Linked DNA regions of Drosophila melanogaster. Changing the gene in region 3 together with the main gene of any one other region gives a genetic interaction. Each region holds a gene or a part of one and is shown on either strand. Other genes may lie near its edges. The genes, in order: Nrg, Fas2, eve and ftz.

Region 1 (4,766 bases), on a different chromosome or scaffold from region 3:
ATATATGCCTGCTGATTCCTACCAGCTCCCCCAACTTTTTGGGGCGTTCCATTTTAATTATAACAAATGCCAGGCAATTGCACGCCCAAAAAAAATATGAAAATATCAACATAAATCTCTCATAAATTGCGCGAGAGTTCGCAGATAGATATCGATGATATCATATTATGTATGTATGTATGTACATTCAGCAGCCAACAGAAGTGACAAAACCAATATAGTGCCTCAAGTGTGAATCAAGAATTGATCGACTCAAAAGTAGATAACACACAAATTACAAAAGCCCCAGGAGAATTGATAAACGAAAAGTTCGCCTCTGGCGTTCAAGAACAATTCAATTACGAGGAAAATCACCCAAGATCATACACATGTATGTAAGTGGCAATATGGAATATATTTGAGGTTTAGGAATCCAAGATATAGGAAAAAGCTCCCAAGTAACCAAGTAAATCCAAGAACATATAAATATATGTAAGAGAGTAATCAGTGATCTGCGTATGATTTATTGTTGACAAATTGAAAATTTATATGCGAAAAATCACCAAATAGCAAATAGGCGAAGCATGACCAAAAAAAAAACAGTAAATAGTAGATGCTTTGTACCTATTCAAATGGCCTCGAGTGTGAGTGTCCATTTCAGTACCTACTCAATTAATGAACTGCTTTAATTATGCTTGACTTTTCCAATTGTTAATGGCATAAATTATAGGGGATGTTTCTCTATCGATAAAGCTTCAATGTTTCGTTTCAAGTTCTTTTCTTATCGCTCTCATTGAAAACGATCCCAGTTACTGGAGGTTAGCCTCATTGAAAGGGGACTTGAATTTATAAATAATAGTAATAGTCTTTCACATGCAACATGGAAATATTCTCCGATCACCTTGGCCTTGATTTTTTCAAAGTCAAGAATGGCCGAAAATTATCATCACACTGTGCTTGAAATAAAAAAAATAGCTGCGATTACATATCAGCAAAGTGACTTTGGATTTGGTTTCGTTTGCTTAAACATTTATTCTTGAATTAACTTTTGAAATTTGCACTTAAATTTTTTTTTTTTTTTTTTTTTGCTGTTGTGGTCGCCGGTTGATAAAACTTGTTATCAAAAACTCGTACAATTTTAGCAAATATTTTTTATTTAAATACTTTTAATATGTTGTAAGCATGTGAAGTAATATCTTCATCACTTATTGTATCTTGTATCTTTAGCCGGACATCCCCACACCAAAAGGCCAACAAGGGCATTTATTAACTAGCTAATTTTTAATGCTGCTTCAGTTGACGCAGTTTCAGTTTCTGTTATTTCTTTATTTATTTATTATTATTTTTCTTGATACGTTTTTGGGTCGATTCGGGGCGGAGGCATTGCTGTCGACGGCGTTGCTGGGGCGGAACGAACTGCCATATACATATGCATATATGTACATACATATATATAAACCTATTCACAACGATGACGTCGTCGCGATGACCGCATGGTCAAAAGCAAAAACCACAAAAAATAGCGGAGAGAAGTACAAAATGTATATATTTACCTAACTAAACTCAATTCAGTTTGCAATTGAGAATCATTGAAAAAAATTGAAAATCAGTTGTTTCAGATATTGCTAAATTTAAAGAATTTTAAAGTAAATGAATTAAATGGCTTAGACGAAAATAAAACTGAAAACGCTAAAAGATTGTTTGTTTTTTGTATCTTCTAAATTGTAAATGGAAAACCCGTTATCTCTGTACTTGAGGTATGAAATCGAAAGAATTTAGAGAGAAATCGCTAGGAACGTGGAAAGTACATGTGAAAATGCGAGAAGAGCGCCAAAGTGGCGACGAACGAGGGAGAGGGCAAAAAACGTAAAAAGAGCTCAAAAAGTGATCTCTTGAAGCTGCCCCACCTTACACACACACACACACACACACACCAAAACAAGAACACCGACACACGCACACACACATGCCGTAATTCGCGCTCATTGTCTGCGCTCTTCTTCTTCGTCACCATCTTCGCTAGCTGCTAGAAAACCTGTTTTAGAGCCACCAATAAAAATGAAAAGAAAAAAACAGTGTGTGTGGAGTTAAGATTACGCCCTTGGACGAAAACTTGGTTCAAATCCATAATGCTTACCTTTAAGTCATAGAAGCCAGCAGCAGCAACAACAACTAGATGACGGGATTCTGCCAAAAAGCGCTCAAGAATCCAAAACTCAAAACTCAGGTAAGAGAGAGAGAGGAAGGCGGGAGAGGGCGACGCGCCAAAGCGTGAGAGACGGAGCGAGTGAGAAGGAGCCACTCAATAACTCGCTTACGAAGTTTTGGCTTCGTGGTAAATACATATGTACATACAAAAACAACTAGAATACAACAAAAAAATAGGAAAAATAAAAAAAACACAGAGCTTTAAATGTTGAGGTTTTGAGCGCTCTTGTACAGTTAATGGCGCCCATTGTTGCTGTTGTTGTTGCCTTTGCGTGGCTTTTGGCGTCCTCCGATTTGCTCTCCTTCTCCTTTTTTGTTGTCATCGTGTGCTTCGTACAATATTGCATTGCCATTCATTTTTAATCAATTGCATTAATGAAAACCATCAACTATTTAACTTTTTGGGTGCGGCACAGTGTGCAAAGTAAAAAAACAACAAAAAATGAAGGTGGAAGTAACGCAAGGAGACAAACAATTTTGTTTTGGGTTTTTTTTTCTTCCTTTCGTTTGGCAACCAATTTTTCTTATTTTTTTAAAACAATTCCCAGACAAGCACACCCGCACACTCACACACACGAACGCACACTAAAAAAAAAAAGCGAAGGCAGAGCTAAAACCAATTTATATATTGGCGGAGTAAATAAGACAATTTTCTACGCGGCGTCAGTTCGTTTTTTTTCCTCTTTTTTTTACTATTTTATTTTCAATTCCCGGCGCTCACTAACACTAACACCGACGCATATACACACACACTGGGACAGTTATGTTATACACGCGGAATTTTTAGGAAAAAATAAATAAAGTTAGTGCTTAAACACCCAAATAACGATATATATTCGCTCGGCTGCGAATATGTATCGCGGTGTTTTCGGCGTAGTTTTCAGTAAATACGATTTGGCGGACATACACAACCAGCAGCGCGGATATTTTCTTTTCGAATGCGGAGAGGAACTGCCAGCCTCGCGAACGGTAACAATCGGACGCACGGAATGCGGGGTGGCATCACCGACAAACTGGTTTACGGTTATCGATATTTATCTAAGATATACCAACTATCGATTGATTACCAGGGATGCGATATACTTTTAAATAACCTACGCTCTTATCGATATTTGTAACTCTTTAGAGACTCTTATCGATAGTGTGTTCAATGCTACCCATAACATGAATGATATATCGATTGATGAACTGGGCGCCAAAATATTCAAATTCAAATGGTTTTACGTTTTAATTACAATTCTGAGCAACGCTAAACAGAAACATAATTAATTATAAAGATATTGAAACTATTTGGATTTCTTTCGTTTATTCCAACATATTTATTTAATTGGTATTATTGTTTCAAGTATTACACAATATTGATGCCTTTTCTCTTACGTTTTCAATTAATTTATTATTATTATTATTATTATTGTTATAACTAAATATCGATCACATTTCCTTTCAGAACGTCTCTCATTCTCATCATTTTAATCCCTGTTCACTTTTTGATGCGGAGCAGAACGCACAAACTCCTGCATACACACTTCCTTTCCATCGTCCTAACTAATTTGCAATCATATATATCGCAATTCGCGGTTTAATTATTGCTTCTCCTATTTCTTTTTATCGCTCGCGCTCTGCGGGGGGGAAATGGAAAGGGGGATGGAAGGGGACAATGAGAAAAGTAATATTAAAAAAAAAAACAAAATCGAAAGCGAGACTTGCAAAAATCAAATCTGCGCTAATACTACATAATTGGTTAAGTGTAAATTAAGGATTTAAGTAGGCTCTATTTACGTCTACGTTTTGCAATTATTATTTGGCTGTTTAAGGTAATCAAGAGCGAAAGAATCAAGAACCAAAGTGGGAGAAAACAATTTGCGTGGCGTAAATGTTCTTTTAGTAATTCTTCGTCGTCTTTTTCTCCCTATACAATGTATATACTTTTCTTTAAATGTGTATAATATTGTCCTAAAAGCCTTAAAAAATATGACGCAGCGGCCTGCAATTCTACATATGCCTATATATAGCCTGTATATATACCATAATCGCACATAATTTCTCGGTAGAGCAAAAGGAACACAAGCAAAAGCCATGTGAAGAAGGACACAATGTAAAATGATATCATATCTCTTAATATCTCTCGCCTCGAGCATTCGACATGCATCATTAAAAGTTAGTTCGTTTTATAGCGGTTTCCGTTTCCGTTTCCGTTTGGTGTTGGGAGGTTTTTTTTTTTTGTCTTGGATTTAAGATTTTTGGGTGGCTGGAGGAGGCTGGCTATACGTACAATTTCTATGTTTTCTGTATATTTGTTTTAGGTACATAACAGTTCTTTATATTGTATGGTGTGTGTGTATGTGTGGCTGCCTTGTTTATCGTTCTACGTTACTCCGTACTCCCTATTTCGTTAGCTACATTAGTTAGGTGCGTTTAGTGTCTCCATTCCGGATCCGTACTGCATGCCCACCGACATGGTGAAGAGCCACGCCACCGCCAGCAGACTGCTGCCGAGCAGATCGCCCAAGGCCGTCAGGTAGGGTATGGCCGAGTTATCCGGATCGATCTTCCACTTCCACATCGCGTGCACAATGATG
Region 2 (4,746 bases), on a different chromosome or scaffold from region 3:
CTTTTCAAAGGAGAAGCGGCCATAAATTTTCGACTTTAGCACAATTCGTGCGTTTGGGTTCTATTTCTAATTATAATACCAAATTGAAAAGCACATATTGGGAATTCGGGGAGCGTTTTTATACCCGTACTCACCTATTAAAGAGCAGCTGCAGAGGAGCAGCGCCAAAAAGACGCCGACTGAATTTGGCGGCAATTCACCCATTTTTATCGCTGTTTTTGCAGTTGTAGTAGTTTTCTAGTTTTCCCCGCTCGCAAATAGCTCTCGTTTTAACTTCTTTGGTTTGTTTACGGTTGCACACGAAAAAAATGTTTAAAAAATTTCAGTTTGTTTTCGCTGCTCGTGATTGCACAAATTATTCTATTCTGATTAACACTTTGCGTTCGGTGTCTTTTGTTTTTTTTTCTTTTGTCTGTTTCGGTGTGTGAATCTGAAAGTATATTGATAATGAAAGAAAGATGAATTAGCTAAGCTTTTAATAGTAATATAGATAGGGTTTTTTTTTAGTTTAAATTCATGGTAACTGGCTTTTGTGGTTAGTCAGATTGGGCCTTAGAAGTTCATCTGCATTTGATATTTGTCATAACTTTAGCATTTTAGCTTCAAATGGCAAATGTTGGCATTTATGGGCGAGGAGAAGAGGAAGAAGGCAGTGCAAGCGAGACAGCGCGAGCCGATGTTGTGTGCGTGTGTGCCTTGTCTCTTTTGCATTCTCTAAAATCGGCGGCGGCAGCGAAGAAGAAAAAAAATGAGAAAGGAAAACGAAGAAAATAAAACTTGCTGCGCCGCCGACTTCGCACATGTTGGCCAGTTTTTGTAACGGAAATTACGGTGCTCTCGGCAGTCGAAACACGTAGTGCAGGGGAAATATGGTAGGAGCAACACAGACACAAGGGGTAAGGGAGGGAAGGGGGGCTTTGGATAAGGTAGGAGAGGATTGCTTAAGCTGAATTTTATCTATAAGTTTGTGTTCTCAGTAGATCGTTATCTTTTGGGTTCGAGAGCGAAATGTATATTTCTTATCGGCACATAAGTTCGTGCGTCTCTCCAATAATTCATGACTCAAGCTTTGTCTCTCTCGCTCTCTTTCGCCTTCTCTCTCTCTCTATGTCTACTGAAGTTGCACCTATGCTGAGTGTCCTTGAATTGCAACAAGTTCTAAAGTACAGTTATCGCTCGCTTTAGAGAATATCGTAAACCAAATAAAAAACGGTTGAGTTATAGAATTGAACGTGACTTCAATGCAATGACTAATAATAAAGGTAGAATAAGTGATCAATAAAAGTTAATTTTCATTTACAGTGACGCCTTGCAAGCAGTGCTCTTTTTTTTTTTTTTTTGAAAACTCATAACAGTCCTAGCAACAAAAAATATTTGCATGCAGGCGAGGGAAAACTGTAGTTACTTCCTCGCGAGCTCGTCTTGCCACTAATCCCGCCCACTTTGCACAGCGGAACTTTCCCACCGCACCCCCTCATTTGGCTTACGGTTATTACAGTTACTGGATAATCGATATTTAGGGCAGGCCTTGACTTTTTTTTTCATAGGAACCGCGCGTATGTGTGTCTGCGGCACGCGAAATATTCTTGAGAATATTTCGCTTTCATCTCGCTTCATTCTTGCTTTTGGCAAATTGAGACATTGTTACAAAATACCCGCGAAGCAGTTTTAAATATTCATAAAGTTTCGAAAACGCTAATTATAATGAGAGACTTGGCCAGAGGGGAAGTTCTGGCAACGGTAGAGTTTTTGTGAATCTGTTCAAGTTGCACAAAGTTTAGAAGTTTTCCACTTGATATTCGTGAATTATTAATGCTGTCAAATGATTTGATTTTGACTTTCGGCGCGACCGACAAATTGTAATTACATCTGCCGTTTTGATTGCCTAGAATTGGACGAACTCAATAGGATTTTGTAGTCTTAATTAAAATATGGCTCGGTTAGGTTTGATAAAACGCAATAAACTAATTTATTAATGCGAAACTAACATCTTGTTCGAAAAACTGCCAAAAGTAAAGCGGCAAAAGTTTTCAAATAAGCACTCTATGAAGTCGATGAAGTTAATTTACCAACTTTGAGTTTATTCCGACTTGTTAACAGTTTAAACAAATATTTTTAATCACATTAAAACTTTTGCAGAAAGCCGCAGCAAACGAAATAAACTTTTTGATATGCGACATAAAGGCAATTTTGACAGACAAAGGAAAAACGAAACCGACTGAAATTGGTCGTGAAATTTGAGAATCTATTCTTTTCTATTTTTTTTTTTTTTTGTTCTGTGGTTAACATTCCAGATTAGTTGTGGAATCAATTTGCCCGGCTTTTCCTAATTCTTAACGTGTTTCTTTTTTGTATGTTTCATATTTCCTATTTGCCAGCTGCAAGCGTGAGTCAATTTCCAGTGCACACTGTTGGTAGTAACAACAATAAAGTTGGCAGCGAAGCGGGCCCAAAAACCTGTTTTCCGTTTTATTTTTCTTGCTTTTCAGGTGATGTTGCTCTTTTTTTTCATATTTGTTGTATGCACTTTTCCAACTCGATTATTGGGTGAGTTTTCAAAGGGTTTTCATGGAGGTTTTCATTGAAATAACTTTTGCACGTGACTCATTGGAATCTTGGGCTAAAACAACAAAACAGCATAGACTCAGCAGAGCGAGAGAGATACATTTGTGTATTTTTTGTCACACGCTAAAAAAAAAGTTTTGAAAAAAAAAATATGTACAAGAATGCCGCCAGTTTATTTTTGGTTTTTGTGGAGCTGTCTCGACATGTTTTTTGAGTTCTTCTCATGCACGGCCAAATAATGGCTGTTATGAGCAGTTATTATTATTATTTATTATTACCAATTTCTCATTGTTTAACTGGCACACTAACACACACGCACACGACGCGCCACGACCGTTAACACATACGGTGAAGAGAGCGCGAGAGAATGCGAGTATGAAGAAGAAGAACCACTTCTGTTGTCTCTATTTGTGTTTTTCTTTCTCTCAGCAAGCAGAGCACTCGACGCGTTGGCCGTCGAAACGTAACTGAAAGCACCGCTAGCGCTGCCGCCGCAAAATACCACAGCTATTGCCGCGCCACAAGATCTGGCAACCCCAAATGTTGCCAGCCGATGCGACGCAGCATGTTGCCAACCGAAAGTAATCAAGCAAGGGAGATGGTAGAAGTTTAAGAAGTAAAGTGCATAGATAATAGCAATTTATAAAACCGAAAATCTGAGCTCTTTTAAAATGAAATTAATTTACATAAATAACGTAATAAGTGCACAGGAATATTAATATCAGTTATTGGCCAAATATGTTTTCAGTGGAGACTAAAAGAGATGGAGAGTGTCTACCGTTAGGCGGCGAAGAATTCAGCTCTTTTCTTCTCGAGTGTCAGCAAGGTCAAACGACAATGGGCGGAGAAACTGGGCGGTGGCACTTAAGCCCCATTTCGTCACTTTTACGAGCGACTGGTGTCAGGTTTTTTGACACGTTTTTGTTGCCCAATCTTTGTGGAGCTTTGTCAACAAACTTTCAGAACGAAGCATTAAAAATGTAACTACTTTATTCGGGGGCACATTTAAAAGAGCTACACGTATGTACATATATTACGCAAAGTGTGCTATCGCGAGGAGATGATGTCTAGCTAAGGTTTTTCCGATTGATATGCAAGATGAAAATCTCACACTTCGATAAGTTTTGTAAGAATATTCGGGAACACTATCTAAACATCCTTCGAAGTTAGCAGCATGTTGCCGAAACCTCTTGCAACATTTCGAAATGAGGAAAACCAAAGTTTAACGTCTTATTTTTCGGCACAGCATTTTACGATCTTGCTGTCGAAGTAACCGACGAATGCTGGGGGGAAAATCGGGCGGGTATGCAAGACGAATTTTCCGGCTGGCAACATTTCGGATATTTCGGAGACGGCCACTTGTTGCCCGCGCAACATCGAGATTCGATTCCAAACAAAAACTTCTTTTATTTTCAATTGCCGCGCTGTCAATTAAACCAGCCTGCGGAAAAATCGTGACGAGGGGGGTGATTTTCCCCGGTTAAGTGGAAACAAAAAAAAAAATCGCAGTTACGTTTGAATGCGCTGTGTGCAATTTACTAAATGAAATTGCGTATAGATGCCAATGCGATGTATTCTGCAGTTATCATTGTTGTTTTGTTTCGTTTGTCGTTTGTGTGACGGAGCAATTTATCACCGTATACAGAGGGGATATATGTACCTACATATATCTATATACCAGCGACACCCCTCCCCCGCCAGAATCACCAATAAGTGATTTATAGGATTGTTATTTTGTCGTTGATGTCGCACTTTCGCTGCGCTTTATTTATTGCTCGGAATCTTCCTCTATCTCCCACACACAAAACAAAAACCCGATACGCCCGATTCGCCCGATTTGGAGTGCGTTAATTTTATTTCACAGCCGGCCGAATTTTCCGAACTTTTCACAGATGAATATTGAATTGATCGGCTGGCTGTGGGAACTATGGTGACAATCGTTCTTCACGCTTAATTTGCTAATGCGTTCGACCTTTGACCCATGATGTGCCAACGATGTGAACATTTTGGCTATCAACAAATAGGATTTAACACGATTGCATTTAAATGTATTGGCGATTTAAAAAGCAAGAATGTAATATAAAGAAATTAGAACATAAATATAAATAAATAAGTAATTATTTTAAGAATCTTTGGTCTTGGCACCAGTAATCTGATGTAAAAACAAAGGAAATATGCCCA
Region 3 (4,037 bases):
CAACGGGTGAGGTGACAATTAATTAGCCGAGCCCAATGCAATCCGAGGACACCGAAATTGATTCCATTGGCAATGCAACCTGACGCGTGGCAGGGAGTGGGCCCAACTCCTCGCCAAGGTCGCCGCCCAGCGGGGTGGCTCTGCATTTGCAATGGGCCCTCCCGCTTGGATCCGTTCGGATCGCATTAATAAGCCATTGGCTTGTGCCAATCCCCCGTGGATGTTGTTCCCTTCCCCGCCGGTGCCGCATCGGGAACCCTTACTCCTGATTGTGGGTGGCCACTCCGAAGGACACTCGGCACGCTCTGCGGCTCTGCCGCTCTGCCGCTCTTCCGTTCGATTTGCCACAGTTTCCCTGGGAAGGTCAGCAGTCAGCAGCGCAGCTGTCCCGCCAGGTTTCTCCACAGCTAATCCAGAGAGCCAGGTCCATAAAAGCGATTCAGCTCAGGTATATGAATATATGTTGATATATATGTAGATAATACCAGGTACCAGGTAGTTCAAATAAACAGTGTGTGTCGTATAATTTTCAATGTTATTTTCGCATTTATTTCTTAATTTGATTTTGCGCCTTAATTATGACTACAATTAGCTACTCTACAATCTGTACAATCTTCGGGAATAAATAGATGAGGCTGACTAAGACTAGTTTGTACAATCTTTTGGGGGAGCATGGGGGGGGGGGAGAGAGTGTGTGTGGATCGCGGGCTTACGCCTCAGTCTTGTAGGGCTTGAAGAGCTTCGGCTTGGGCTCCGCAATCACAGTTGTCGTCGGCGGCGGCGACATGTCGGAGGCAGGCCGCTTGGCACTGGGCATCAGGAGGCCTGGAGCGGGCAGCGGGCTGGTGGTGGTCAGTGGAGCGGGAGCAGGAACTGATGGAGCGGATTGAGCCACTGGACTGCGGTCGAACACCTTGGCGTGATCGGATCCCACTGGCGAGAGCGACAGCGTGGAGGAGTGCGGCGATGACGACGACTGCAGATCCAGCGGCGGCGTCTGGGTCTTGGGCACACCCACACCCAGTCCGGTATAGCAGGTGGCGGAGGGCAGAGCGCCCAAAAGGCCGGCGGCACCGGCGGAGTACGACGATCCCGTTGCGCTGGATCCCATCATGTGCGGATGATGCATATGAGGACCAGCGGGATGTGGCGGCGCCGGGCGGGCGGGGATGTGGTAGGGCGTGTAGCGGTACTGTCCGTAGGGCGATGGATGGCCGGCATGTCCCGAGTGTCCGGGCATCTGCATTGTGGGCATCTGGGGCATGCCCATCGGGGGCATTCCGGTGGCCATCATCGGATTGGTGGCCACGGCAGCGGCGGCGGCAGCAGCGGCGGCAGCAGCGGGGGCGTAGGGCGGATAGGGCATGCCCACGCTGTTGGCGGCGGCCTGGAGGATGGAGGCGGCGAAGGCGGGATCGGAGTAGACGGCTGCGTAGGGCCAGGCGACGGCGATCCTCTGACGCTTGTCCTTCATGCGGCGGTTCTGGAACCACACCTTGATCGTGCTCTCCGGGAGGTTCAGCTGGGCGGCCAGTTCGCAGCGACGGGGACGGGACACGTAGTTCTCCTTGTAGAACTCCTTCTCCAAGCGACCCAGCTGGTCACGGGTGAAGGCGGTGCGATAGCGGCGTACCGACGGGTCGGCGGGAATCTCCGAGCCGCGGCTGCCGTTCAAGGAGTTATCCGGACTGGATAGGCATTCTGTTTTGGACAGAGGAAAGATTGGGTGTAAGTAACTCGTCACGTTTGCTCGGCTTTATCTTTAAACTTACCATTTGGCGAGGGAGGCGGTGTCTGGGGCTTGCCGTACTGGGTGGCCAAGAGGTCCACAACCAGGGGCTTCTGGTCCACGGGACTGGCGTCGTGATGGGCATGGTGGCTCTCCATGTTGTAGGTTCGGTATCCGTGCATGTTTGGTATGCGTCTTGTGATTCAAAGTTGGCTTATTCAGAGGATATTAACGAAGGCAGTTAGTTGTTGACTGTGCGGCGGTCACAGCTCGAGTGTGCTGCTCTCAGCCACCCCGCGCCCTTTTATACCGCTGCGCTCTGCAGGCAAATGGCCGCCGTCGCTGGGAGCGGCCAATCGCAGCGACCCAGGCAGGTGCGAGCGGGACAGCCTGAGCGGAACGGTGCTAATCGTGCGGTGCTGAGAGTGGATGCGCTGCTGTGCTCTCGGTGCTGAGCGGCGATAACGAGGCGGGACAAAGCGGAGGAGCAGGACCCGGAGCAGCGGGATGGAGCCGCGTTCTCTGCTCGGCAGGACCATGAGGAGGTCCTGGCCATGCTGGCCATGGCACTCCCGAGCTGGAGAGAGAGAGAGTTCCGATTTGGTATTCATAGCGGATGAGCGAATCTTTTGTCTCGCCCGCCCGCAGGCGGTTGCTCCGCAGGAGCGAGCGGGACGGGCGGGCCCCCTTAATAATGGGATTTTATCGGCTTCATCAAGAATGATATGGCATTATGCCGCTCAGTCGGGTCGGGTGGTGTGTGTTTGCCGGCAGAGAGTGTGTGTATCCCACTATATATTTGTATGTATGTATTATCGATCGCCTGCCAGCGAATTATTTGCGCTTTTATGAAGTCTTAATATTATGCCGCACGTTTAACAGCCCCACACTGCCATGGCTGCCATGACTTTCGGGTTTTGGGGGCTTCATCCACCCCGTTGGAGCGGCGGCAGGGGTGTCCAGCCATAACCATTTGGGAACTGCTGTAGCGAGATAATGGCCGCCCCTGCCCGCAGAACATGGAAAATGGAAAATGGGAACCCAGTTGCCGGGACTTAATTTGAAAAGTTTTCGGTTTCGTTGGGCAAAACATTTATTATGATGATATAATCATTCCCAGCGTACCAACTGTACCAGGACCGGGATAGTGCCTCCTCTTTTGGGCCAGCAAACCGGCCACTTGCCACTTGCGCAAGTTAGCTTGGAGGTTTGGCCAAAAAAATCGTGGGGTCCACCCACAACTACCTGCTGCCCGGCTCAAAACGGGTTAAGCTCGCGGATCAGGGCTAAGTCGGCGCAAAAAAATAACCCAGTTCGCTAGTCCGTTAATTGCGTTGCCTGGACCTGCGCGCCCCTAATCCCTTCGACATCATTATTATGTGTTTTTATGACTTTCTAATGAAAAGGACAAGGGATTGGGATTGGGATTGGGATCGGGCTAGGGATCGGGATTGGATTCCAAGTCAAGCCCTTGGCTAATCCCAGCAAACAAACAAACAAACGCCCGCAGAAGATGGCGATGGCTAGATCGGCGGAATGCCCTGACTTCGCAACCCGGTCTCGTTGTGCGATTATAGTCCAGGGTCCCTCGATTCCGTCTAAATGAAAGTATGGCACAGCGTGTTACCAAACTGCGACGATTGTTCAAGATGCTGCAATAAAGTCTAACTCGAAAGTGAAACGAGGACGAAAGCGAAACGCTGCAACTGCAATTGACTAATAATCTCGCTGATGGCAAACGGATTAACACGGCACACACAGCGAGAAACCAGGCCAGCTTTTCGATCTGTCCCAGTTACGGTTCGGGTTCCATTGTTATGCAGTACCGGGTAACCAGGAAGGATACCTCGCTCCTGCCAGTTACTTCAAATTATTGGGTTATATTGCGCCCGCAATTTGCATTGGCATTAACTCGCCCGGCATAGCCGCATCGCAACAACTCTACCTACTGGCCGACCTGGAAAAGGCCCACATGCAAGCCTTCTTGCCCCGGGAAAGGTTCAATTCTCGAGGTTCGGGGTTCAGGGCTAACAGCTCACAGCTCATAGCTCATAGCTCAAACCCTACCCACAAGCAACAACCTTGCCTATTGTCCACCTCCGCCGGCCTTTGTCTTTGACTCCGTCCGGAGAATGGACGCGAAACGACCGCTTGGGTTAAGTCGTCAAGCGAGGCTCTGCGGCAGCGACAGTAAATACCCTTTATGGCGATCGGGTGGGTTGGATTGGATTGGGATGGGTTGGATTGGCTTGGTTAGGCGAAAGTGTCCGCCGGCGGAAGTACCTTCCTCGTTTCAATACTCAATCCT
Region 4 (4,474 bases), on a different chromosome or scaffold from region 3:
CCGGGAGATAGCAATGGGTCAGGGATGAGGGGGACTGAAGCGACAAAATGCAGCTGCTCGAATTTGTACGATTCGTGCTCAACATTAAATCGTTTGCGTTTCGTATAAGTTCGAAAGTAATGCTTCAACCATGTGCAATTCATCAGAAAGTAAACCAAGAGATCTCTTAAGCTTCTCAACGAACAATTAAATATTAGGCTTATACTTAAATAATTTAAACTCCTTAACTCCTAAACTCCATTTTTATCATATATATGTATTATATGCATATATAAGGTATGAAAATAGGCTGAAGGTAAACTTTGCCTTGTGATATGTTTTCGGTGAAAGTAGTTAGACAAATACCATACGTTGATCCAAACTATTTTAAGAATTTATTGAGTAGTTATCATTGAAAGGCATTTAATTTTATTTCAACACATATACATATGAAATGTATTCCACATACGCGGCCCACGGCCTATAAATTTAAAATTTTAAAGCAGTCAAATTGCAGCATGCCCAAGACTCTTCTTCACAAATTGCCAAATGAATGTTCAACTTGATTTGTTTAAATTCGATCGATTTACTTTACTCGTATATTTAAATAAATAGAATTCTATGATAGGAATATCTTAACTACTATATGTACAAAAACATGTGTGTCAGTCTCCAAGTCTCTTGGCCATTATCACTCCCAGCTGAGTGTTTTGGGCTTGTGTTTGGCCGCAGCTAATCGATCGCTGAGAACCCATCATGGCCAGCCACTGGGTTCCGCGCGCAGCAAGGCTCCTTTTCTGTTTGCGCTGCCTCTTTTGCCTCTGCCTTCTGCACTTGCGCACTCGTCCTTGTGCCCAAAATGTCCTGGGCACCGTAGGGAGTGCGCCCTCTACTGTGCAACTCATCGCGTCGCAGCTTCGTTCTCGGCTGTGTCATTTGCGTGTCACCTACAAATGGTCGAGAGAAGTGCGCTTCGGTTTCGTGGCGGTACGGCTTTCGGTTCCGCTCTGGGGAAGAGAGTAACTGAGCATCGCCGGACCTCAAGACAGATGGTAGAGGTCCTGTGGATGTTGCTGGTAGCTGCACTGATGTTGGTACTGCTGCGGGTAGGCATCGTACTGCTGGTGGGTCTGCTGCTGAGGGTAATCATTGAGCAGGCCATAACCATGACTGTGACTGTGGCTGTAAGCGGGGTAGGCGGCGGTGGTTTGGTGGTGGTGGTACATGGGCACTGGCACCGATGGTGCCCCGGTGGTGGCGGTGCTTGTGGCCTCCAGTGGCGGCAGCATCGCGGTGTAGCCGGCACCACAGTGCTCCGGGGAGCTGTCCAGCGTGCGATCCTTCTTCGACTTCATGCGTCGGTTTTGGAACCAGATCTTGATCTGCCTTTCGCTCAGGCTCAGGGCATTGGCGATATCGATGCGACGACGCCGGGTGATGTATCTATTGAAGTGGAACTCCTTCTCGAGCTCCAGGGTCTGGTAGCGGGTGTACGTCTGACGGGTGCGTTTCGAGTCTTTGCAATCTGTAAGCATAAGCAAAGAAAAAATGGGTTAGCTAATGAGTTTTATAACTGCGTATTGTTTGAAAATATCAAAAATGTATACAAAAACATATTTTCAATATTTTCAAAGTGTATTTTTAGGGGTTGTTAATCGTGTGTGATGCCTACCTGATGCCAAAGTCTCCTCGATGTGCGACCAATTGAAATCGCCGGCTCCATTCGGGGCTGTCACAATTCGATGATTGATCTCCTGGCTGACAGCTGACGAGGATTTCTCCCCCGGCGATTGGGGTGGCGTGCTGATGCCTTCGAGGGGCGGCAGAGAGGTGGGCGTGGTTGGCGGAGGGGTGGCAAAGTCGCCATTCTTCAGCTTCTGCGTCTGCGACTGGGGCGAGTAGACGTCCAAGTAGTCGACATCCTCGGAGGCGCTGGGCGTGGGCACAGTCACGTACTCTTGGTCGTAGCTGGGAGCGGGGCTGGCGGTGACCTTGGTGCTTACGGCGGGAGCCTTCTTCACCTGCTCGACGGTTGTGTAGAAATAGTCGGGGGTGTACTTCAGCTTCTTCACGGGATTGGTGAGCAGAGCCCTCAGTGTGCTGGGTCGCTCCTCCACGGCGGCGATGATGGAAGCAGCATCATCTTCGGCCTTGCGCTTGGTGGCCTTGGGCGGCGGGGTGGTGGGTTGCACGGGCGGTACAGTCTGGGTGGTCACCTGCTCCTGATTGTTGTAGTAGTAGCAGCTCTCCGAGTAACTCTCCTGGGGATAGTAGCCCTGATAATTGGAGGTGTTCTGATAGTAGGCATTGCTGCCTGAATTATCGTAGTAGGTGGGCGGCAGGCTGTGGGGGTGATACATGTTGTACATGTTCATGTTGTCGGCGTAGCTGTAGTGGCTCTGGCTGTTTGTGGTGGCCATATCGGATGTGTATTGCTAGATTTCTTCTCTAACTCTGCGATGTGCACGCAACGCTGGTGAGTTTGCGAATGAGCTGGTCCTGCGGCAGATCCTGCATATATAGCAAAATCAGAGAGCCCTCGGCACACGCTCGCCGTTATAGCGCATAAATATCCCTGCGCATGACACTTTGCCGCCTGCTGTTCGCAGCCACCCCTCCGGCGAAATGTCCTTGCAGGCACGGAGAGGGGAAGTTATCCGAGGTCCTGGCAACTTTATCCGTACGGTGCCTACCTGCTGCGCGGCTTATTACCTACCCATCGCGCCCATTATCATCGCGATTTATCCGCCCGCGCGCTTCTCCTACTCGGCGACCTTGAGACGGTGCTGCAGTAATTACGGCCATGAGGTGCCTACCTATGAGGTGCGCAGAGCGAGAGGGCGCGACTCTCAGCCGATCTCCCTCTAATTGCAATAATCATAAAGACATAAAAACTGTAAACTGTTGCTGAAAACGTTCCTTCGGGGCAGAGGCTTTTTCCCCGGCCCGTTTATGGTTCCCTAAAAATTTCTCTGGATTTTTGCCAGCGCGCAAAACACCGAAGACTGGCTGCCAGTTGTTCCCGGAACCCGATGCCCTTTCCCTCCGAATTTATTTCGTGGCACTGGGCGGCCAAAGGATAACATTACGTCCGATCCCTGGGATCAGGAATACGCGTGGCCGAGGGTCGCGTGTTTGCGCTTTTTGTTTGCCCTCGTGGCCAAGCAAGTGCGCAACTCCCGATTCCCAAACTCACTCCTGTGCCCGGTATTTGCCTAAAAACCAACAAACGCACTTCCAAAATGACTAGTAAACAGTAAAAACTTTATGCAAACATCCTTTGCCTAAATTTTAAAAATATGATATAAATTATATGCCCGCTGATTTTTCAAATGAATACTAGTTTTATTTTATTTTTTACGTTATACTTTTAAAAATGATTCTATAACAGCAGAAAACCAGCAATATTTTAATAGCATAATATTGTTGAGAATATAAAGCTTTTACGCTTTTTTTCGGTAACTCTGTGATATAACCCTCAAGTTTTTATAAATTTTAAGTAGGTTGTCTATGGATGCTGTAATTTTTAATGGCCAAATGGTAATGTATCCTTTGTGAGTGGTAATCTTGAGTTAAATTTGTGGCACAAAACTTGCACAGCGTAGGATCTTCATGTTTAATTATAACATTATAGCTCTTATACTTATACTTATATGGATCAAGAATATATATACTTTGTAGCACTGCAATTGCTGCCTTCTACCTGTTACATTCATTTCAGTAAGGGGTAAGAATGCCACAGGCTTCACGATTTACTATTTCTCATTCTTTTAGAAACTGAAGGTTATTTCTGGTAATCTAAAAATCTACTTCCATCTTAGGTTCGCGTATAACCTGAAATCAGCTCAGCTAAATTGACTGGTAAAAAACAATCATCTCTCAGCCACTTTTGTGTTTACATGACTTTCTGATCGGCTTACGCGGCCTGGATAAATTTTATTAGCCACCCCCGTTGAACACCCCTAACATATCGATACTCCTGACATATGTGTGCATGTGCGAATTCTACCCTTACCCCATCCGCATACTCTGGCAGATTCCATTGTTCCACAAAATTTATGGCGTTTTTCAGTTTGACAGAAGAGACTGCAGTTCGCATCTCTCCGATGTCCTGTGATTGCTATATTGCCAGTGAATGTGAGCCTCCTTTCTGGTTTTGCAGTAAACTTAACAATAAGGGTGTAGAGTAGGATATAAAACCATCCGATAACTTATGTTTATATCTATCAATCAAAGAAAGGAAAAACAGCTCCCCAAAAATAAAATTCTTTCGATACCGAATCATTTACTAAAATAATTTCATCTCATTTTATTTAAATATTGTTAGGATCCTTTTTTAACGCAATAAATAAGGGCGAGGGCTACTACTTTTGACTAGGTCTTTGAATTTAGATATATACTTATTGAATTATACCTTAAAAAGATTAATTAGTTGAATTATTTTACATGAACATGGCCTAAGATTTTAAACTAACTTGTCTAGCTGTTTATGAAT

What was found.
Region 1: of eve (region 3) and Nrg, changing one enhances a phenotype caused by changing the other (phenotypic enhancement), as found in Drosophila melanogaster (one study listed by BioGRID).
Region 2: of eve (region 3) and Fas2, changing one enhances a phenotype caused by changing the other (phenotypic enhancement), as found in Drosophila melanogaster (one study listed by BioGRID).
Region 4: of eve (region 3) and ftz, changing one suppresses a phenotype caused by changing the other (phenotypic suppression), as found in Drosophila melanogaster (one study listed by BioGRID).

What each region holds. Positions count from the first base shown.
Region 1 is NC_004354.4:8,515,749-8,520,514, reverse strand, and holds the start of Nrg (neuroglian), read right to left. Parts: upstream 3,028-4,766; 5' UTR 3,006-3,027; exon of another isoform or gene 2,117-3,005; intron 1-2,116. Other genes in the region: CG33181 (uncharacterized protein), read right to left, coding at 4,589-4,766. UniProt on the Drosophila melanogaster protein: Essential for septate junctions. Septate junctions, which are the equivalent of vertebrate tight junctions, are characterized by regular arrays of transverse structures that span the intermembrane space and form a physical barrier to diffusion.
Region 2 is NC_004354.4:4,203,057-4,207,802, forward strand, and holds the start of Fas2 (fasciclin 2), read right to left. Parts: upstream 3,038-4,746; 5' UTR 2,844-3,037; intron 431-2,843; 5' UTR 205-430; coding exon 135-204; intron 1-134.
Region 3 is NT_033778.4:9,977,289-9,981,325, reverse strand, and holds eve (even skipped), read right to left. Parts: upstream 2,008-4,037; 5' UTR 1,912-2,007; coding exon 1,773-1,911; exon of another isoform or gene 1,742-1,772; intron 1,702-1,741; coding exon 710-1,701; 3' UTR 531-709; downstream 1-530. UniProt on the Drosophila melanogaster protein: May play a role in determining neuronal identity. May be directly involved in specifying identity of individual neurons.
Region 4 is NT_033777.3:6,862,319-6,866,792, reverse strand, and holds ftz (fushi tarazu), read right to left. Parts: upstream 2,470-4,474; 5' UTR 2,400-2,469; coding exon 1,652-2,399; intron 1,505-1,651; coding exon 1,020-1,504; 3' UTR 549-1,019; downstream 1-548. UniProt on the Drosophila melanogaster protein: May play a role in determining neuronal identity, may be directly involved in specifying identity of individual neurons. Required during embryogenesis for the process of body segmentation.